Struthio camelus: one gene and its partner. The protein of the gene in region 1 purifies or fractionates together with the protein of each later gene. This does not show direct contact. Links are inferred from orthologs where the notes say so. Each region holds a gene or a part of one and is shown in the gene's direction. Other genes may lie near its edges.

Region 1 (11,264 bases):
GCAATGTGTTTTTCTGTGGAAATATACCTGTTCTCTTCAGTTATTGTAACACTTCAGTCTTGCTTCCTTTTCCAGTGTAGCTGTATTATTCTGAGGGACATGGAACTTAGGTCTGAGTGTTTGAGGATAGTTGCAAGCTTTTACTTTTTCCTCTTACTAGTAGGCGCTTGAAAACTGCACATTGCTTTCTAAATTTGCTTTCAGATGAGGAAATACATTTTAGAATTCTGATGATGTCCACCTTATCTGCATGTAAACGTTTTTTAGTTCCTTTGAGTAAAATCAAGTAAATAGGAGGAGAGCCTGTATTGGATGATGGTGGCTGGTTTTCATTCGTGCCCTCATTCTACATATGCCATCATTGTGACTGGTAGCTGCCATCTTCCATCCACATAGATTGCAGAATTGGGAATTACAGACAGGATCAGGAGGGAGAAAAATAAAACCAAATTCCTTTAAAAAGGATGTAGAACTTGATGGCCTATTGAATATTATGTATGTCGCGGTTGGCGGCGCTGGCCCGCGGGTAGTCGCGGAGCTTCCTGCCGCTCAAGCTGAGGGTGCCGCTGGCCGCCGCTTCTTCCAAGGCTCGGTCCAAGGAGCGGCTCCAGCAAGGAGCTGCCCGTGTTGTTCTTACTGGCCTGGTAACGTTTTAGTGGATCTTGGTAAAGTGTTGTTTTCTAAGGCAGTCCTTAAGTGTTTCCTGTTTTGACCATCTCCCGGTATTTCTTCTCTGATGTTCCCTATATGTAGGGATATATGTGTGATTTTTCTTTCCTGTCCTTGATTTCCTGTTTTCTTTCCTATGACTGCAGCTGGACCCTCTCCTTCATCTCTTTGTTGCTTAAGTTACTGTCATTGATGATCACTTCTAAATCATTTTGTTCTTAAAGTTATTTCCTTCCATTGTCTTACGAAGGTAATAGGATAGTTATCTTTGAAGTCCCTCTGAAAGTACAGCCCAGTTTGTACAAAATGCACAAACATCTCTAAACTTCTGTTTTTGAACTGCTTTTTTTTCCCAACTGCTACAATGAGAGTGGAAACAGTATTCAAATCTGGTGTCTCTCTTGATCTGCTTTCAGGTGCAGGCCCAAGTGCAGCCAGCAGAAGATCTAGATAATCAGACAGTAAAGAGAACTCGTCAGTAAGTATTTCATTTGACAAAATTCAGTTTAGTTACTTGTTTGTACTACTGCTCTTGTTTTGGATCTAGCTTCTGCTCCTGGCTATGGTAATTGGATATTTTTTTTGCCTGTAGGCCTCTAAACTGAATGGCAGTGGTCCTCTCCCTATTTTTTTCCAGTTGTTTCCTGCAGTATCTCTTCAGTTAACCAAGATGAGTTTGTTTGCGTAAGATGCTCACAAGAATGAGGCAGAAGGTGCTAGCTAGGTAGACTAGTCACTACCACTTAAGAATACTGCATAGACTAGGAGAAAAATTCCAATGCCTGCACTCTCCTGAGCTCTTCATATATTTTTCCATGCTATCTAATATACACAGAGCCTGTGAAGCAGTTGGAAAATACGTGAGGCAGGCCACGCAATACTCTCCCAATGCGCCTCTCATATCCTTCTCTGTTTGCTAGGCTCTTTGCAACTTGGCTGCTGGTAACACAACAGGCTGAGTAAGCAGCATGTGCCACAGAACTGTAGTCTGTCACCTTTGATTTGCTGTGAAGGCCAATCTAGCTGCATCTGTGGCAAGCGAAAGGGAATGTTTTAAAAAATAGGAACATTTTGATCACTGCTGCAGTATTGGTATGTCTTGCCAGCATGTGATCTACAGTTTGTCTATGCCTCTTCAGGTAATGTAGAGGATACTGAAGTCAGTACCCCGCTTCTCATACCGTATAACGTGCAGATTGCTTGTCTGCATGCTGTCTTTGTACTGGCCCATATTCTGAAAGCTTATACGTTCTTTATTAGCCAGTATTTGGGACGCACTTTTAAAGATGTAAACGTGTTGCTGAAATTTTGATTGGGATAAGTGATTTCTGTGTTTTCAAACTAGATGGCGAACTTCTACCACGAGTGGAGGGATTCTGACTGTATCTATTGACAACCCAGGAGCAATCATAAATCCAATGTGAGTAATAAAAGCAGCTCTGGAATGTTCTTAGCGTAACTGAAATGGCTGTTCCTGAGCCATTTAGCAATTTATTTGCAGATGTTATTTCAGGTGACTTCAAGGTGAGTTCTTGTGAAAGCTTTTAAAACTAGCCGCTTTCTGAGTGTTTCTGAGCTGTGTTTGCATAACATCACAATTGATTTTCACAAGAGACCTCCCAGCGAGGAGCTTGATGTGGCATAAAGTTGAGTTGTGTAGGGCTGGTAGATTTTCACCTTATCTGCGTGCTCAAAATCAGGCCATGTTGTGGCTGTTTCCCTCCTCTACCTGAATGAAAATGAATGAGCATCTAGTTGTTGAGTGATGATAATAGTTCCTTCCTGATTCATAAAGATATTGTTAGAAATGTCCTTAAAGAAAGTATTGCTGTATTTATTTTTGAAGTTAAAGGAAGAGTTGAGTTTGATGATGGAGTTATATTTTAGACAATTTTTTTTTTAATTAGTAGTACTTACTCTGTAAGGAAGCCTCTGTCTACTTTTTTTTTTTTGTGCATTTACAACACAGACTAACAGTCAGAAGTGTTGTTCTATCAGCAGTAAGGCTTTATTGCTTAAAAGCATGTATTCACTATGTCCGTTTTAATGTTGTTCTTTCATAGGTCCCAGAAATTACGATTAACTCGTACTCCCGTGCCCCCATTTCTGATGAAGAGGGACCAGTCTGAAGAGAAGAAGATTCCCAAAGGGGTTCCGTTGCAGTTCGATATTAATAGTGTTGGAAAACAGGTAAAAGCAGTTTCCTTCCTCAACTATGGAGTAGTTCCAAGATAGATAAAGATGGTGAGCCAGGCACTTTAATCCTATACTCGCTAGTGACAGAAAGAGGGAACTAGTAACTACTGCTTGTTTCCACTTCCAGTTCTTCTGCTAACATGCTATGTAACTTCAACCAAATATCTGCACTTAGTGTTCCTGCTCCTCTGGTTTGTGTCTTGCATGCCCGCATGCTTTGAGTGGGATTTAAAATGCTGAATATCTGTAAAAATCTTCCGATGTTCTTGCTGCTTGAATCAGCTAGTGTGTGTAATTCAGGGCTGAGCTGCTCTTACTCACGTAACTTGTATGGAACACTGGCATCTGAATGTCATTACTCTTTGCAACAGAGCAACTTTGACTATGCAACTAGGGGAAAAAAAATCAAATGTAATGGTATAAAGGTTTAAGAGAGAGATACGTTTTCAAGAGTTTCGTGAAGACGGGTGAGTGGGTGCAGGAGAGAGGATCTTCTGAGTGCTCTTACTGACAAAATTCTGGCAGGGTGACAGAGTTAGGCACTGACCCCAAGACCAGGCTGTTCTTATAATCAGCTTTTTACTGTCTTCTGCAGAAAACATGGGGTCAGAAAGTCAGTCAGGATTTGTTCCTTCCGCAAACAAATAGTGTGTGGCAAGTAGCCTGCTATGATATTGTTTAAAAAAAAAAAAAAAAATTAATTGAAGTGTCAGACTAGACGCTAGTCTGCTGCCTCAACTGGATGGACTGGAAAGTGGTTAGAAACTTGTTTTTGTTGAAGCTACGTAGAATCCATGCTTGGAAATGAGTCTAGTGAAAGTTCCCTTTTTCAATCTGTTCTCAGTTTAACTGTCTTAGGGTTTTCTGAGTTCACTGTCAGTCTTGACTTGGTACCACCATATGTTCTTAATGAATTCCAATAAGTGCTAGCTGTTGATATGTACTCCATTCTGATTTCTAAATGGTGTGGGAAAGAATGAAACCAAATTAAATCAGGGCCTTTTTTGGATCTTAGTTAGATATACACTTAAGCCAGGTGATGATACGGAATGCGGAAAAATTACTCTCGTCTCCATTACTTTGATTAAATTAACCTAGCATCTTTTATGTGTATAGTGAAATAAATTTATTTTCCAGACAGGGATGACTTTGAACGAGCGTTTTGGGATCCTGAAGGAACAAAGAACAGCGCTGTCCCAGAACAAAGGAAGCCGTTTTGTAACCGTGGGCTAACCTGTCAAATGGACTTGAGTACTGATCCCACTTATCTAAGAAACTGAGATAAAAGTGGGCAGAAGAATACAGCATACGTCACTGAGATTCTCCAGACTTCTTGCTAAGATAGTGGCAGAGCTAACTATCTTTATTACTTTTACTTTGAACAGTAAAAGACATGATGCCCTGGGGTGAAAAAGTGGGGAAACCAATCTGCTGGAGTGACACCATGATCTGGTTGAAAAAGATTTTGTTGCCCAGCTGATGACAAACACTGATTTTTTTGGTTCATCTTGCAACCAAAATACAAACATGAGGATAAAATTTCGGGGGGGTGGTTTGTTTTGTTTTTCGTTTAGCAGTGCTCAGTATCTGTTCTTTGACCCCCTGCTATAGTGAAGACTGTCAGTGTTTCCATTACAATCCCCTCTTTAGGGTGTTAGGGACTGTCTATAAACTTCCCTCTGGACTGCAGCTTAGTACAGAGCCTCAGTCCATAAATACTTCTGGTAGTGATGTAGCGGCAGTTTTCATGGGAGCATTGGTTGTAATTCTTTGTGGTTTTGATGTTCTTTTTTTTCTTCTTTTTTTTTTTCTTTTTCCTTCCATGGAGACTAAATATTTTGCATCCTCATTTTCGCAAATAAAGCTGTTAGCTGAGATCCAAAATATATAATTGGGATGGAGACTATTCTACTCCTACTCTTATCCTTAGACGTGGTCCAGATCACGCTGGAGGAGTACTGTACGGCAGTATGGGCATAGTTTATATTACAAATAGCTGGCGTTCATCTGCAAATGGAGTATGTCTGTCTCCTTTTTTTTCCTTAAACTTTTACTTTCTATTTCTTTTTGTAAGTTTTTTCTTTTCCATAAACTTAATGCAATAACTTCACATTTTTTTGAATAATTTTGTAGGAATAAATACAACAGTTCAGAAGAAAGTCAGTGGTATGGTAGAGTTCCTTACCTTCCCAGACACAGGATTCTCATCTTACCCCAGAGGGTTCTCTCTGTCCCTCAGAAATGGCCAGAGGCAAGCAATTTAATGGCACTTGTTTGTATATACCAAAGAGAGGTAAGATGTGAAGCTGATCAGCAGTGGTCACGCATCTTGAAGGTGGCTGAAACTGGGGAAGTGTTGCTGGAATAAAGCCCTCAGTCTGCCAACATGTGTAAGGCATGAAATAGGTGCACGCAGTTACTTAATGTCTAGTTTTATGCATCAGAATCTGAAGGATGGTGACAACTGGGGCTCCTTATTGGGAATTCATACCATCAGTAGAAACGAGACACCTGTTCAGAATTAACATGCTGATAAAATTGCTTCCAGTCCAGGAAGTGATGAACTGAACACTGTTCTATAGCAATGAGTTTTAGTTACAGTCAGGTAAAAGAATGGTTGGCTTGCTGCATCCACAGATGTCTATGGTGTGTGAAGTGGTTTTAATTCCTCTTATTTCTCTTGAAGAATTTACATTTGGCTTCTTACAAAGTTGGTTTCCTTGCATTTTTATCAAATTCCAAGTTGACTAGCTGTTTCCCTGGACTTACATGTTGAAGAGCGTTTGACAGTAGAAGGGCTTTCTGTCATATAGCAGTTTTAAAGTCAGAATGCATCCTTGACACTATATAGTACTTAAAACCTTATTTTTAATGTTGAAAAACATACCTTAGCAAAAAAACTAAAAATAATGGTGTTAAGTTTTTTTTTTTCTTAATTACTAATAGGGATTTTTTTTGAAAAATACCCCACTGTTAGAATTTGAGTAGATAACGTGGTGTTAGTCATCCTGTTTCAGTGTATATGTTTTCCCTGTGCCAGGATGCAACAAAACAATTCTTTTGCATCAACAAAGATGCAAAACATTGATGCAATGCATCAAGAAATGCTAGTTTGTATTTAATGACAAGATGCTTTACACTGTACCTTTTGGTATTTTTTGAAGAAGTTATTACATTGGATCTATTCTGAAGCTGTTAATTTTTTTTTTTTAATAAAATGTTACAGGTTTCATACTTTCTTGTTCCTGTTATAACCACTTGGGCAATATATTGGTTATATAAATGTTCTGATATCCTTCAAGGGGTTGTTAATGATTAAATCATTATTAAATTTCTGGAGAATATACCAAAAGTTAGCCCAATTTAAGGAGGGCTTGTACTCGTTTCTGGCTTAGTGTCCTGAAAAATGAGCACTTTTTGCACTGGTACTATATAAGCTCACTTGCATTTGAAAAATATATAAATAACTGATGTTTTTAGTAGCACTATCTTAGTGGTTTGGTCTGATCATAGTACCAGATACCTTAATCTGTCAGGTCATGTACTGATTTTCAGATTGCTGTGACATGTTTTGCTAATGGGAAATCACTGTCATCTAAGCATTTTATTACAGGATCAGTTTGAACACCCTGATAAAACTGCTGTGGTTGTGTTTTCAAGTAAGGACGCTGGCAAAGACGTGCTGCCAGGAGCTATGTGCATTATAAGCAGTGGAAGTGCTGCTATTAATTGTACGTGGGGGGGAAAAATACTGCCTGTAAGATGTTGAGTATGGTGAGTTTCTGTCCTGGCACCCGACTCTTTGAAGTCCTTAGTTTTTATTACCGGCTAAAATCTGCGTGGTTGTCAGCTTCAGACGACGTTCAGAGGTGCACTGGTTTGGGGGTGTTTTGTTTGTTTTTAAGCAGCCGATCTGTACTTTCGGGCAGTAAGACAAGCACTACGTGTTCAGGCACTGCAAAGAGTCTGACCTGTTTAGGTTTGGTGACTTTGGTGCTCTGGAGGCGCTAGAAAACTTAAGTTTGTGGAAGTGCTCACGTGGCATCGCAGCCAGGTGGGCTAAATCTTAATTTATGCTGGACCTCAGGTGAGCTCTGGGCACTTGAGCCATTGCCAAGGGGAGGTGGGCACGCTTGCACCCTGGGTGCTCCGAGGAGAGGGAAAAGCAGCCTCGAAACGAGCCTGTTCCAGCTTTTCCCCCAGGTGCCCTCCGGCCTCCCCCCCCCCCCAATTTCCTCCGGGAGGGGCTGCGCCTGCGCGCCCTGTCAGTTTGCCGCGCGCATGCGCCCTGTGTGCCAGTCCCTGGGCTTTCCCCGCGCCTGCGCAGCAGCGCGCGAAGCCGGAGCGGCGGAGGGCTGCGGCGGGGGAAATGGCGGCCGCGGTGCTGGCGGCGCCGGAGGGCGGTTCTGCCGTGGTGCCGGCGGGCAGCCCGGCGACATGTTCCCCTGCGCCGGGCCCGTCGGGCCCGGGCTCGTGGAGCCGCTCCTTGGACCGAGCCTTGGAAGAAGCGGCGGCCAGCGGCACCCTCAGCTTGAGCGGCAGGAAGCTCCGCGACTACCCGCGGGCCAGCGCCGCCAACCACGACCTCAGCGACACCACCCAGGCCGGTGAGGGAGGCGGCACGGAGCGGGCGGGCCCGGCGGCGGGGCGAGGGCTGGAAGCGGCGCGGAGGGGGCCGGGGAAACGCCCGCCACACCCCTGCCGCGCCCCAGGGCCGGGGGCAGCCGGTGTGGCGCGGCCTGGCGGCTCCCCCTCACGGGGGGGGGGTGTCTGTCTGCCCCCCACCCCCTCCCTAACGGCCGCTGGGCGGGTGGGAGAGGGGCAGGGCAGCCGGCCCCCCCCCCCCCGAGTGAGGGGATTTATGCTGGGTGTGTGAAAAGGAGAGATTTCCCCTGCGAGCAGATCCCTTCCTAATGCATGCTTGGAGCGTTTGGGTTGTGTCCCCTCCACCCTTCCTCTTCGTGTGTGTGTGTAGGGGGGATTCCCCCCCCCCCCCCCCGGCTGTGGGCTGGTCGGCCAAGCGGGAGACGATTCCTGTTCCCTCCCGCCCCGCCACCCACCCCCGGAGGCGATGCTTGGCATATTTCTTCTCTTGGGCCGTTTCTCTTTCACACCTTCCCCCTTCTCCCTTCGCCCTTCCTCTCGCCTCCTGCGAGGCAGGATGGGGGGAGTTGGTGCAGGGTGCTCCCCCTTTCCTTTCCCCCTCGCCAGGCTGGCCGGTGAGAGGTGCTCCCATGTTAGAAGCTGGGTTTTAAAAGTAGTTACGAGTCCTTTCTAAGTACCCGCTGCGCACTCATGTGGTTTTAGTCATGTGTGTTCTTTTACTGGTATATATACGTGTTATATATGTACACATGCATATGCGCCTTCCCTGTCTTTCATCTTGTGCTATTGGCAGGGGAAACCAACTTTACAAGAAGAGCTGTCAAGTGTTCATGAGCTAAAGAAATGAAAACTATTTCTTGTGCTCTTATGCTATTATTATTGTCATTTCTGACAGCTATGCACAAGAGCTGGAAGGTACTGTGAGAAGAAGCACGTCCTCTTACTGTGTTCTCCCTTAATTCTGAACGGAGGAAAACTTTAAATATTTTTAAGGAATGCTTTACATGGTACAGTAAGCAATAGAGGTATTTTTTTCCCCTTTGCTCCCCAAGTATGCTCATAGGGAGTAGATTAAAAATGCATACTTCACATGTAAACAGCTTGCCCATAAGTAAAAACACATGCAAACATTTATGGATTATGTCAATGTATTATTGCATTGAACAGAGAAGTAAGACTTGTAAAAATGAGTGTTTTCATGGGATGTAGAGCTTACTTTTCTTAATGCGTTATATAGAGCAAATTTTGTTTGCGTGTGTTTTAGTTGTGTAGTTGTATAAGCAAAGTAGAAATAGTTGTGGAAGGTATCAGCATGCCATTTACTTTTAGCTTTGGTCACTTATAACTTTTTCTGTCATTTGAGTTGTGATGCTTTTGTTTGAAGATACTAGCTAAAAAAACAAACTCTGAACATCGCTTTTAAAAACTTTATTTATTTTTAAAAACTCTATTTATTGGTGTATTGATATACTGCCAGTTAAATGTTTCAAAATGGAGCCTCCTTTAAAATGGTTTAACTTCACGCTGTGTCATGTAATGTCCTATTTGAGCAAAAAATCTGTCAGAAAAGTACTAATACTGCCAAAAAAAAAAAATCCTGCGAGGGGCAGATCTGCTTAGTTTGGCCTCAACACATCTATGGGTAAATATAGCATACTTGTTTGTGAGGGATTGGGGCTTTTTGTTTATAATACTATTCATTTACTGTAGTCTTGAACAATTTGTGGGAATTCTTGTTTCCGCCAAGGTTCCTATCTATTGTGATGAATATTTGCATTGTAGTTGTTCAAGAAGCATTAAATGCCAATAAGCAGCAGTGCATGCCATATACACTTTGTGCATTTTTCTTCACAGGGAACCTTGGAAAAAGCTAAGACTCTTCCTAAGTTAAGAGACAGAGCTTACTGTGAGTGAGGGAAAAGTTCTATTCAGGTTCTCAGTTATGAAGTCTCCTGTGAATAACTTCATCTCGTGCCTTTTTTGGTATAACTTGTGCTATTACTTTTTTTTTTTCTTTTTTCTTTTGAATAAGGCTGGGCGGTGGAGAGAAACGGTGCAACTATTTCTGACCTCTGAGTATCAGTTGAGGGTTCAGCTACAGATTTAATCCGCTTCTTTCCCCGTGTTGATTTCCTTCTTGTGAAACTTCCAGCTTTTATTACATGCTAGTAGCCACAAATAATATGGTATAATGAAAATGTGTACTAGGTGTTATAAACACTTAAAACAATCCTGTGGACTCCAGGTGCTTTCCAGCGTGCTGTTCTGTAAAGACTCGAAGCACATCAGGTGGAGCATGTACACATCACATGAATCACATGCCTTATTAATGTAACTACACTGCTACAAAACTAGCTTCTAGAATAGCCTTAAGCCTTAACAGATTCAGTGGCCTTGACTGGAAGCTCTTGTTAACATAGATGAACCACCAAAAGTGGGTCAGGAGGAAGAGCAGGGCATAGAGATTAGATGTATGCTAGATCAAGTTTACCTGGCTGCTCTGTGCAGATATTGGAATTCGCAGTTTGGGAGGGGGGAATGCCTACAAGTGGATATCAGCCAGAAAGTATATTTTCAAATGTTACATCAGTGGAAAGAGCATGTTTCTTTGGAACTTTCAAGCGTTGAGAGTTTACAGTACTACTAACCCTCGTGCTTAAGCACTTGTAGCTGCTTCTGCACAAACTCATTCCCTGATTCTCTTCGATCTAGATAAATGCCCTAGTAGTTTCAAATTAGTGGGAATAACCAGTGTTTACCACACCAAATCCCAACTTATATAAGTTTATTTAATCATCTTATTTTCTTTCACTTAGTATACCTGCTTTCAGATGCTTTCTAGACCGTGTTCAGGCAGTTAATGTCTCAGTGTCCAAAAACGTGCACAAATGGATGTGATATTGAATAATTGTTGGATTTTGATGTTGTGTAAAAATACTAGTAATAAAATGCATACATTTCTCATACTTGAATTCTTGTGCTATTTTGAAAATATAGCGTAGCAATGTATTTGCTTCAAAGGCTTGAAAATCTAAAGCCCAGATTATAGAAAAGCACATGTGAACTCCTCTGAAAGTCTTTTGTCAGTTGATTATCATAACAGTTCAAGCACGGTGGAAGGTGTTGATTTGTTTGTATTTGGTTACTAGCATTACTGTGCTCTTAAAGAGGAAAATACTTTCTTTTTTTTTTTTTCCTTTTTTTCAGTTACTGTATTGCTGTGAGTTTTATTGCAAGTATGGTGCTTTTATACAGAGATGCAATTTTTAGGTTAACTGTAGCCCTCTAATGAAACGTAAATTGCATTTGACAGCTCATTTTCATCGATGGGCTGCAGTAGTGCTATTCCTTGTGTTCTGGTCCAGTCGCACATGAGATGAAATACACAGGTATAATTCCTAAGTGATCCCTGAATAATTATCAGAACTAAGTTTCTGGCAGGTGTAATTTGACTTTGGAAAAATATTTGATAACCAGATAGGGTTTGCTGCATTTCTATTCTGAAAGTTAAATATACTTCTATTAAGCATCAGTGGGAGAATTAAATTCCTCATTAATCATTTGCCTTGATCACAAAACTCTCACTGCAAAGTGAAACCTGTAGTAATGTCGGAGCCTCAGCTGCCCTCTGGAAGCTGCTGTCGTCCAGATGCTGAGGACCCACAGAAGGCTTTTTAAACACAGATTAGTGTTCTCAGTTCTACCTCTGAGTAGATAACTTAAGCAGACATTGAAATAATAGTGAGTTGCGGTTTGTTTTTGTGTTTTGATTGGAATTAAGATCACACAAGAAG
Region 2 (11,121 bases), on another chromosome or scaffold:
TGTGACTTGCAAGAGAGCCTCATGGGCTAGTATTTGGATTTGTTTTGCTTTATAGACAGTCCTACATAATGCTGACTTTATCTTCTTTCTTATGAGGAAAAAGCTACAGATAAGAAAAAGAATCCCTTGTATTAGTAAGCCCACATAGGAGGTGGGAAGAGTTGCCTGTAGCAGCAACTGGCTCTGGGAGACTGAAGGGGGAGCTGATGAATGAATGATGAATGAAGGGGAAGGGGGAGCTGATGTGCTCTGAGCTTGATACCAGCTGGGTTACTAGAGTTGTGCTTGCTGGGGGAGTCTTTGCAGCTCAGAGAAAGGCCTTTCCCAGAGGACTGAGGTGAGACCTGGAGGTCTTCTGCAAGTGTTACTTCACTTGCCTCTGCTGCTGCATTGGAGAAGAGGGAGTAGAGCTCCCCATGCTGTTGGAGCATCTTCCTCCACATTGCCCCTAGCTTGAGCATCAGTTAAGTCCTACCCGCTCTGGTAAGCTTTTTGTTGCAGTCATGACAGCAAGAATGTGGTTTTTTTGAACTGCAGTTTTGATTACGTTGAGTCTGATCTTACTGGCCAGTAGCAAAACTCTGGCAAGTGAGATTTCACAGAGCTGTAGAAGATTGGTACTAGATGGGCAGAAGGACTATAGAAAAGAGGACATTCCATGATAGATATATACTAGGCAACTCTTACAAAGTAGCTGAGAATTAAACTTTTTAGAAGAGAGAACAGGCTGTATCGTGCATGGACTTGAAAGTAGAAATATTGAAGGTAAGTGACTTTTAATCTAAAATGATTTCAACAGAGACAGAAGTAAGCTAGAAGATAATTATGCTTGTTTTCACTTAGTGTCAAGTATATTAAAGAAGGCATGAGTGAGAGGTTCAGACTGAAAAAGCAGAGGAAGATTGTCAGAAGAAAACATGGAAGCAAAGCAGGAACGTCAGAGAGAACTTTGCAGGACCGAGAGAAAGAGAAAAAAATTGCCAGGGACAGTGTGGCATGATGGGCTGGAGCAAGCAGCCAAATGGCAGAGTGGAAACAAATTTTTGACAATGCTGGTTTAGAGAGGGGGAAAAAGTGAGGGAGACCCAGGACTGTAAAAAGTAAATGTGGAGTAAACCATTCTCAGAAATGGTAAGTTCAAAAATAAACATCGTATTGCAAAATTATCATGATTTATAAGGTGCCAAAAATAAAGGTGCAAAAGGAATGAGAAATAGTAATATAAATACTGTGGGAACAGTGTAGAAGTAGTTTTCCTTCCCTCCCTCCTTCCCTTCGCTGGAAATCATTCGCTTCACCAGGAGTGCGAGGTTTCTTTGCCTTTTTTTTTTTTTTTTTTTTTTTTTTTTAAAACATGGGTATGTTGCAGTGCATGTGCTTCAACACATTTCTAAATCACCAATTTCCATTGTAAGACTTGTATACTTCAGTGATGTGGCTGTTAATCTTCTGACTTTGCCCTCTCAGCTGTACATATTTAGAAAGTAATACAGTATCCAGGTCTGTCAGCCTAAAATTGATGGAATCATTCCTAATTTAAACTTTTCCTGGGGGCAGATTCTGGTCAGTTGCTTTACCCTTAGGAGTGTGTAAACCTGGCATACAGAGGGAGAGCTGTGTCCTGTGAGCCTGAGAGGGTCCCGAAGACACTTGCTGTTACAATGCAGATGCCTGTGTGTATAGTTACAGACATACATGGATGGCAGGAGAACTGAAGCCTGATTTATGACTTATTCAGCCGAGTACCTTGTGAAATTGATGATACTCGTGTAGGGTTTGTTGATGCCTGAGGTGGAGATGTTGGATGATTCCCCGGTTTCCTCATGAAATACTGAATGTCTCAAAGACAGACAGTCGCTTTGGGAAATGGGTTACTGACCTGGGGGGACGGGGGAGGGGGTTGTTTTTTTAGGAGAGTGCTTCCCTGTTTGAAATCCTTAGAAAAATAATCGAAGGTTTGTGATGCCAAGTGATTTTTTCCAATAGTAAGAGTATAATTGTTTTTAAAAACTCAAAGTGAAAGTATTCTGACCCTGCACTCTTTTCTAATCTGAATAGGACTTTACAGACTCCAACCCAAGTTCCAGTGGTTGTTTCTCCTGGAAATCAGCAGCTGCATACTGTAACACTCCAGACAGTGCCTCTTACTACAGTGATAACCAGCACAGATCCAGCCTCGGCGACAACGCCCCAAAAATTTATTTTACAAGCCATTCCTACTTCGCAACCCATGACAGTTCTTAAAGAAAACGTCATGCTGCAGTCTCAGAAGCCAGTCTCTCCTCCTTCATCAATTGTGCTGAGCCCAGCCCAAGTTCAACAGGTTCTCACCAGCAGTGTGCAGACAATTTGCAACGGAACAGTCAACATGGCTTCGTCTCCATCCTTCAGTGCCACTACCCCGGTGGTAACTTTTTCACCTAGCAGTTCACAGATGGTAGCTCATCCGTCAGGCACAGTGATCACTTCAGTTATTAAAGCACCAGAAACTAAGCAGATTGGCATACAAACAGCGATAAAAGAAGAAGACAATGATGAAGTAGATGATACTGAGCAGTCAGAGCAGAGAATTCAGCAGCAGCCTTTTGTGATGGTAGTATCCAGTTCAAATGGTTTCCCATCTAACATGCAAGTGAAGCAAGAAAATGAGCCATTGGAACCCAGTTCATATAAATAAATTAAAAAAAAAAAAAAAAGACCCTGTGGATGATTATTTTCATAAATGTGATGGGACCTTTTCAGTTATGTATATATGATTTGATTCTGAAGCAGATGTTACAAAGCTACTTAATTTCCGCAGTTAATTGGTAGAATTCATGCTTTAGAATGGATTTTGATTTTCTGTTAATTGCTAAATGTTATCATATAAATAAAATTACATATCCCTCATGTTTCAAAATACAGGCGTGAAGGAACATGCTTTTTTATGCTATGAAGACTTTCTCTTGAGGTTTTTGGCCAAAGTTCCGAACTTCTTACATATTTGTATGTTTTCAGTCTGTTGCTAATTTACATTGCAGTAACATTATTATAACCTTCTCTGTTTAATCCGTGCATGTATCACTTAACTTTTGAAGCAACACTTACTTTTACTTTTGATGGGACATTTTCATTCCATGTGTATGAATTTTTTATGATCAAGTGTATCTGTTTCATACCAGTGAATTACATCAGATTTAGACTTTGAATAACGGACAGTGATAACCAGGTATCCTCTTGTTGCATTTTCTGCAACACATGCTCTTGTGTGTGCAAAATTAAATATACACTCCTATTGAGAGTACAGAAAACATTTATTCCAGTAATGGACAATGCTAGGTCTGTATTTTATATGGAAACATCAGATATATTTAATTACAGAAACTAATGGCATCACTACAGGTGCAAATGTTTCATGCCATTTTGTGACTATGAATTTTAACAATTTTGCTTTCTACTTCAGATCATTTTGTAAGGGGGGGGGAGGGAAATGAAATATATACAATTTATGCAGGTGTTCTTAGATTAGTACTGCTAAGAGTTCTTTTTTGATTGTAAATAATGTACATTCAATGTCACAAGGAAGTTTTTCAGCTAATTTGTTTCCATACAAATTTTTGATAGATGCAAATAAGATCATTATGTTTAGAGGTCTAATGTTATATGTATTCATATTACAGAGTGAATTTGTATTTAAAAGACAAATTTTTAAATGATGGAGCCCTTTGAACCTTGGGTCCTTGCCTTTTGTATTTTTAATTGGTTTATTATGAAAATAAATCAAATGGAGAAAAACTTTTCTGTATTTACTCTGAAATGTTTTTATATTAATACAGTGTTTTGATGATCATTAGAAGTCTCCAAAATACGCTGAGAAACAGGACAGCATAATTAATCAGTGTGGGCCTGTGGTGGAACATGAGCAAGTGAGCAATTTGTGAATCACTTCTGAACTCAGCCTGGAATGCACCAACATGCTGTGTGTTTGAGCATGCGATGGCACTGTGGCCTTTCAGGGAGCAGTACTGTACGTTTTCATAGCTGAAATGAAAGTTGAGCTATAGCCAGTGTTTAGACTTCAACGTCGTCTTTTCTGTCCCTTCCCAGTAAGTTATAAAATTTCAGCATAATTCTGGGGTGCCATTTATCACAAAGGTCCTTGTAGCTTATACAACAGTACTGCAGGCTCAAACTACTGCATGGCCAAAACCTAGCATGTTGCAAAATGTTTAAGGAGAACGTGGATTATAAATGAACGTGATGCCTAGTAAGATTAGCTGCATGCAAAGTTAAAGGAAATACCACTTTGGTCTAGCTGTATAGAAGTAACTCTAAAAACTGTACCTAACAAGCAGTTCTCTGCCACGGCTACCCTGTTTCTTGGTGGTTAAAAGTGCCTTGTTTAGGTGGATGTGTGGCTTTTTTTTTTCTTTTATTCTCCTGCTGTTAGGTTTTGACCTACAAATCCATGAATCTCATCCCCTTTTCAGAGACTGGCAGTACACAAACCGAAGTGACTGATGCCAAGTAAGTGGTGATTGTTTTGTCCGGCAGCATTCCTTGCAACTAGGGAACTTAAGTATTAGAATTGCACCCTCTGGTTGAAGAGCTCTTGTGTTGTAGAAGTGCAGTCCTAATATTTTTGTTATTTTTTATCTTAATGAAAAAAATACAGAAATACAATGTTGGCAATATTACTAGAAATGTGGATAACATTGTAAAAATATGGTACAGTTCTCATCCTGAGGGCTTTACATTTCAAATTGACAAAAAACATTGGGGACGATACTTTTGAAATTAATTACAAAACAGGGACCTTATCCTGTAATACAAATATTTCATAATACTAGGGAGCCTGAGGAAAACTGAGGAAACGTTAAGGCTTGACTGACATAGTGCTTGGGGGGGGAGGGGGTGTTTTGCTCAGCGTATTTGCTAAAAATGTGAAAAATCGCAGTATGAGATTACAATTTTGCAAAGAAAACCTCTTGCCATAGATTTAACTACGTCAACAGGAAAACGATTTTGTCAGCTTAGTTTATGTCTTTTGGAGAAGTGGTATAGTTAGGCTGGCAGAAAACCTCCAGCAAACAACAACGGCATGTCTTCTAACAGAAGACTGTGTTGTGTAACAAACCCTAAATGAAAATCATTTTCTTCCCTCTCCCCACGTCTCTTAGGCTCCGATGTACTACCCCCTCTACCCATCGTACTTTCAGCTCTCAATACTATGGGCCTCCAAAGCGGCAATGGAATGGAAAAGCCAGAGCAGGTCACAAAACGAGGGCTTACAGTTGGGGGTTGAGCAATTCCTCCCCCCTGCCCTTAACGCCTTTTCACAGCCGTCTTTGTGTCTGCGGTATTGACCAAACAGAAGGCGCAATGTCACATTTGAGCCACCGCTGACTCAGAAAGAAAAAAAAAACAAGAGGCTGCAGCTCTCTTCTGCACGCATGCCAGCTTGAAGGAGGGGGGGGGAAGAGAGACGTGCTGCCCCCAGGAAGGGATCCCAAGGGCGAGGAGCAGCCCCAGGGCACCGCTGCTGCCCCAGGAAAGGCCCCGACTCCCGCTTCCAGGCGTTAGGCCAGAGACGTGGGGCCACTGCTTCTGCCACTGCGGGGGACAGAGCTCCCAAGCTGAGGGAGCCCCCTGCCCGGCCGGAACCACTGCCGCTGGTGCTTGGTTGCCTCAAGATCTACCCGTCAGGCTGGGGCTAACAGGAGCTGCCTGGACCTCAGGCGACGCCGGCCTTTCCCTCCTGAACCCCCGGTTCATTAACTTTGCGGTCTTCACACCCCTTCCTCTCAGGTTCACACCCCAAACGGCAGCCTAAGCAAAACGAACTTTGCCAGCTCTCTGCCCTTTCTCGTATTTGCGCGGACCCCCGTTTGGGAACCGCCGCCCTTGAGCCTGGGGCGAACCTGAGCAGCGAAAGAGCAGCCAACCGCCGCGACGCCGCCACCTCCCTCCGCCTCCCCGCCCCAACCCGCCCGCACGCATGCGCACACCGCCGGCCGCCGGCTCCTGCCGCCGCGGGGTGGGGGGGAGGAAGGGGCGGGAGGGAAGGGCTTAAGAGCACCTCTGTCACGGCTGGTCCTCCAACTCTATGGGAGGGAGGCCTTCGCGTTTGCCTCGGTAGCAATGGCCGCCCCGCCTCGTGACGAGGCGCGCGGGAGGCCCCTACGGGTTGGGCAGGCCCCTATGCATCCCGTCAGCCTTTGCGCGCGCGCGGCTGCGGCCTTGGCGGTTGTTGTGCGGGTGCCTCGGCGACTCCAGAAGTTTCTCGGGGGCGGCGGGCGGCATGGCGGCGGCGGCGGCGGGGGGAGCGGCTGCTCCGCGGTGAGCTCCCCTTCCCTCCGCGTGCCGCCCCGCCCGCCTACCTCCTCCTGCCTTCTCACCCCTTTACGTTTCCTCGGCAGGTTCTCGGACGGGGACATCGACCGGGACCCGGGGGCAGCGGCGCAGGTGAGCGGCGGGGGCCGCGTCCCGGGGCTGCGCGGCCTCGGCAGCGGGCCGCCCGCGAGGCTGTGGGCAGAGGTTGGCCGCCTTTGCCTCCCTCGCCGTGGCGGAGGAGGAGGCGCCGGGCCCCGAGTTGGGCACGCTGGGTTTTGCCGTGCGTAAGGGTCCTGCAGGGCTGGTGTAAGTTGGCTGTCTGGCTCCGCTGTCAGTCTGGGAGCACCTTCGCGCTTTGTCTGCGAGGGAGGAGGATGTTTTATGAATGGGGAAGCTTAAGTCCTGTGGGTGAGGTGACTTTCTTGCAGCGGCATGTCGTGTCGCTGTTAGAAGCGAGGGGAAAGCTAAAGTTTCTTACCGTTGTCCTTTTTGCCAGCTGGTAGTTTACAGTGTTTTCCCCAGAGGGCTGTACTCCTTCATGTGACGTCTGACGAAGGACGTGTTCAGCATGTTTCTGTCAAAATGCTTGTACTACCTGTCTTGTGAAAAAACAGTAAAAATGAACTTTTTGTTCAATATAGGTAGACTGTAATACAAATAAGTTTTTGTTTTTAGGTGCAGAATCATAATTGATTTAGTTATTGGCGAAATTTACTTAATCTTTATTAGTTTTTATCCTACTATCACCCTTTTTTTTTTCCTTTTTGTGTATTCTACCCATTAAGTTCGGTCAGTGTGTTCTCAAGCGTTCTTTTTATTTGAAAGGAAAGGTTAATAGGAAGACAGAAATGAAGGATGGATAGATTTTTGTTTAACATGCTCTAGAAGGGGAGAGGATATCACTATTTAGTTCTGCTTGAATGGAATAAGTGGCTGGAGCTTAACAGGAAACTTAATTATCTTTCCATAATGAAGTGGTGCAGCTGAATCTTACGGTTATTTGGGGTTTAGGCTGTAGCTTGCAAAAACTTTTCAGAAGGTAACTGACATCTAAAATGGGGTTGGACAAAACTAAATATATTTAACACAGTTAAATTTAAGATGTAAAAAAATTGAGTTTCCAATTGTAAACAAAACATCTTTGGAAGTGTTAAAGGCATATTTCAGTAGTATTCGTTAGTCTTTCTGTGTTAGCATAGTTTCTTAACTTGTCTTGTTTGTATTTCAGTTCCTTGTATGTTCAATGACTTTCTGTAAGAAGTTTTTTTGCTAATTTTAAAATAGTTTATAGCACATTAGGTAGACAGTATGTTGCAGTGATACCAGCTGTCACTTTTTTTCTTTGGTAAATACTCATGTTTGCAGGCAGTCTGTGCTTGATAATCTCTGAACTGGTAAGTCCCATAATGCTGTGCAACATCACGATGACTTAGGAGCTTGGATCTAGAAGCAGTATACCATGTTTGCATGATCTTGGGTGTAGTCTTTAGCTCATGTACTTAAGTGTTTATAATCTGGGGCACAGCACCCAATGGTGCTGTGTAATGCTTCCACACCTGGCAGGACTTATATCCAGTCAGCATGGCATTTCTGCCCTTTTGGTTCCTTTAACTCCTAAAGAGCATACTTCAGTATTCTGCACCTGCTGGCTATAGCTGTGTCCGCAGAGGCACTAGCCTGGATCTGATGCAACTAAAAGGTCATCATCCGTGTCTAAATGCTGCATTAAAAATCTGGATGATAAAGCGGTGAACTTCTTACTGGCTTTTTTGTCATACTAAGTAGAAAAAGTAGTCTACCCTATGGAATAAGAATGTCTTCTATTGCTTTTTCATTTATAAAATGCTCTGCAAGGTAAGCAGTAATGACTTAAGGCAGAATCAGAACTGTATGTTAAAATTGTAACTCCTGGACGAAAGCACGCGTTGTCTCTGTTTTGGTGGAGTGTTTTGCCATATGAGAAACAAAGATGGTAACCCGACTGAATTCAGGCACAAGTGATTCAGCAGATTAAACCACTTTTAATTCATACAAACTCACTTGTGTCAGACCTCACTCGTTTCTGAGGGTTACAAGCTGTACTTACATCTATTTGCGTAGCGTGGCCCCGTTCTAATACATCAGTTACCTCATATCCTTCCTATCTGGAATCCCTATCATCATACATCTTTCTCGTCATATAGTGATGACTGCTCTTGAATGGCTTCAATTATTAAGAGGCCATTTGTATAAGTAGATCATGAATTGCTTTTTGTTACAACTCTACTGCCTGCCGCTTGTTCAGAGACACCCTCCCCCCCCCCCCAAGGTTTTAGATCTATATGTTGTACCTATATAGAGATTTGATTATCTTATGCTGATGTGAACTCAACACTGCTGACAAAAGAAGCTGCTTTGGTCACTTAATTCCTTGTTGGTGTAAGCATTTGTGTGACAGTAATGAACTAGAACAGACGCTGATCTGAATTAAAACTAAGTTAGGCTCTTCTACTCTTCCTCCCTTCTGTAGCTTGGTGGAGCTGTGTTTTGCAGCTGTGCTGAATTGACATTTATGCATGCGTAAAGCCTATATCTTGGCCTCCTTCATGCTGGCTGAATTCTGAATAGAAATCCAGGTAACTTGGAAAGTTGAGTTACTGTATTGTAGTGTTGTACAGTTAGTGGCTTTGGAAGATTTACTGCCTTCTAGCAACCCTCCTCGGTAAAGGGAGAACTGGAGCTGAACACTCTTTCCAAAGGTGTGTGCTGAGCCATTGTAATTTCATTCTGCTGTGCAGAATGTAAGAAACTTTTCTCTTGCAGTGTATGTTATAATTATTTCAATCTGTAAACGTCATTCCATTAACAAAGAAATACTTGATGCTCGTTTCCGTTATTCAGCAATGTTGCCTGCAAGCCCAATGGTGCAAAGGTATTTTTCTGCTAGTTTTCTTCCTCAGTGTGCTTCAAAACAATCTCCCATGCTCACCAATATTGTACAACACGTTCATCATGTGTTACGGCTCTTGGAGTATGTTATCCCTGCACAAGTGTTCTGACATACTTTGTGCTGATTTCCGAATCTGCACTGCATTGCTTCCTCATACCCAGCAGACCTGTGTACAGAAGTGCTGAAAACTGTAGGCAGCTCTTTAGGATATAGAGGATCAGCTGTGCACTAGACTTCATGGTTATGGCATTTGAAAAACTTGCTTCCTTGTCGGTAAGGAATAGGTTCCTTGAATCTGGTATAATTGGCAGATTCCTCGTACTTTGTGAGCCTTTGATGTATAAGCTTTGTGGATCAAAACTGGGCAATAGACAAATGTTCCAGCCAGTTCAGGATATTTTGTTCTGAAATGTCTTTGAGTTGACAGAGGTTGATATTGTACTTTTACAGGGACTTCTGAGTTGCTATTTTATATTTTTTTTTGTCTCTCTTTACAGGAACTGACAGCAGCCTTGGAAAAGAACCCAGATGATGCTGAATATTATTGTCAACGAGCTTATGCTTATATTCTTCTACAGAATTATGCTGGTAATAACTTTAAACTGATAATCCCTTTACAAGTGTATTACGACACATTCTTTACAGAAGATGTCTTAGATCTGCAATTAATACAGTAGTAATAGAAATTTGTTGCCTATAACTTAATTGGCAGTTATTACAGTAAGGTATACTTTGTAGTTTTCTTTGTCTTTGTTTGCTTTGTATCTGCAAAACTATCAATAAATTAGGTACTCTGCAGGCCATAGATTTCCATTTGATTTTAGCACAGGACTATCTGGGCATCTATTTTTCAGTAGACTTCTCAGGTAGGTTTTAGACTTCACGTGGTAAATGTTTTCCGGCCTTGTGTGGTCTCCTGGTAGAGACGGAATCCTGTCATAGTAGGAATGTGATAGCTGAATAATGCATGGGAAAAAGATTAACTTAATACTAAAGCTTTGGTCTAGTTGTTCTTTCCATTAAAAAAATGATTTACAAATCGGGTTTAAGTAGAGGATTTGAATAAATGACAGTCATACTTCTCGCGCATACTTGCACAGAGCTCTAAAGTGAATGAAGGGGTCATCCATATCGGTTGTGGCTATGTTTAATCCAGGCAGCGTAATTTGTGTGTGAGATAAGAAAACTAGTCAAAATTTTGAGGTGAAATATGTTACAAAAACACTCAGCCAGTTTTCTCGTTTTCATAACATATTGATGTTCCTTATCTGTAAACTGACTTTCCACAGATGCTGTTGCAGATGCAAAGAAGTCCTTAGAACTCAACCCCAGTAACGCTGTAGCTTTTCTCAGGAAAGGGTATGTATTTGATATTATGTTTTGGGAATATTGTAATAGTTTCTAGGGCAATACTCGTATTTGAATTACAGCTTTATACAAGGTTTTTACAACAAAATGAATGAATATATTTGATGCTATACTACTTCTAGCACGTCTGTAATAGCGCTGTGGTTATTTAAAAAAAAAATAAATTTTCTCATTAGGATTTTGAATTTGGACTTGTTATCTTAACATCCCAACCCTTTCAAAAGCGGAGTTCTCAGGCAATTTATATTCTTATGTTTGTAACTTTAACAAATATAGTGCATAAACTGAGTATGTTGTGATCTTCGGAATGTGGTTTAGATTGAAAAGTAGTTACTGATTCTGTATACTTTTCTTTGGTCATATCAGGTTAGGTGAATATCATATGAAAAACTACACATCTGCTTTAGAGTCTTTCAGAGAGGGACAGAAGTTGGACAGTAAGTATTAAAAGTACTTGCACAATACTGACTAATATGAGGAAAATTCTTATTGCATTAGCTGAAAGGGAAGAC

What was found.
Region 2: the proteins of LRCH3 (region 1) and SUGT1 purify together in Homo sapiens (co-immunoprecipitation; 3 studies listed by BioGRID and IntAct, counting the BioPlex papers as one, with this or other methods). This does not show direct contact. The link is inferred for Struthio camelus from reciprocal best matches to the Homo sapiens genes LRCH3 and SUGT1.

What each region holds. Positions count from the first base shown.
Region 1 is NC_090950.1:21,385,623-21,396,886, forward strand, and holds the start of LRCH3 (DISP complex protein LRCH3), read left to right. Parts: upstream 1-7,176; 5' UTR 7,177-7,234; coding exon 7,235-7,472; intron 7,473-11,264. Other genes in the region: FYTTD1 (UAP56-interacting factor), read left to right, coding at 1,086-1,147, 2,015-2,089, 2,733-2,859, 4,003-4,098. UniProt on the Homo sapiens protein: As part of the DISP complex, may regulate the association of septins with actin and thereby regulate the actin cytoskeleton.
Region 2 is NC_090942.1:188,787,499-188,798,619, reverse strand, and holds the start of SUGT1 (protein SGT1 homolog), read left to right. Parts: upstream 1-6,165; 5' UTR 6,166-6,180; coding exon 6,181-6,444; intron 6,445-9,738; coding exon 9,739-9,829; intron 9,830-10,530; coding exon 10,531-10,600; intron 10,601-10,975; coding exon 10,976-11,046; intron 11,047-11,121. Other genes in the region: ELF1 (ETS-related transcription factor Elf-1), read left to right, coding at 2,059-2,677. UniProt on the Homo sapiens protein: May play a role in ubiquitination and subsequent proteasomal degradation of target proteins.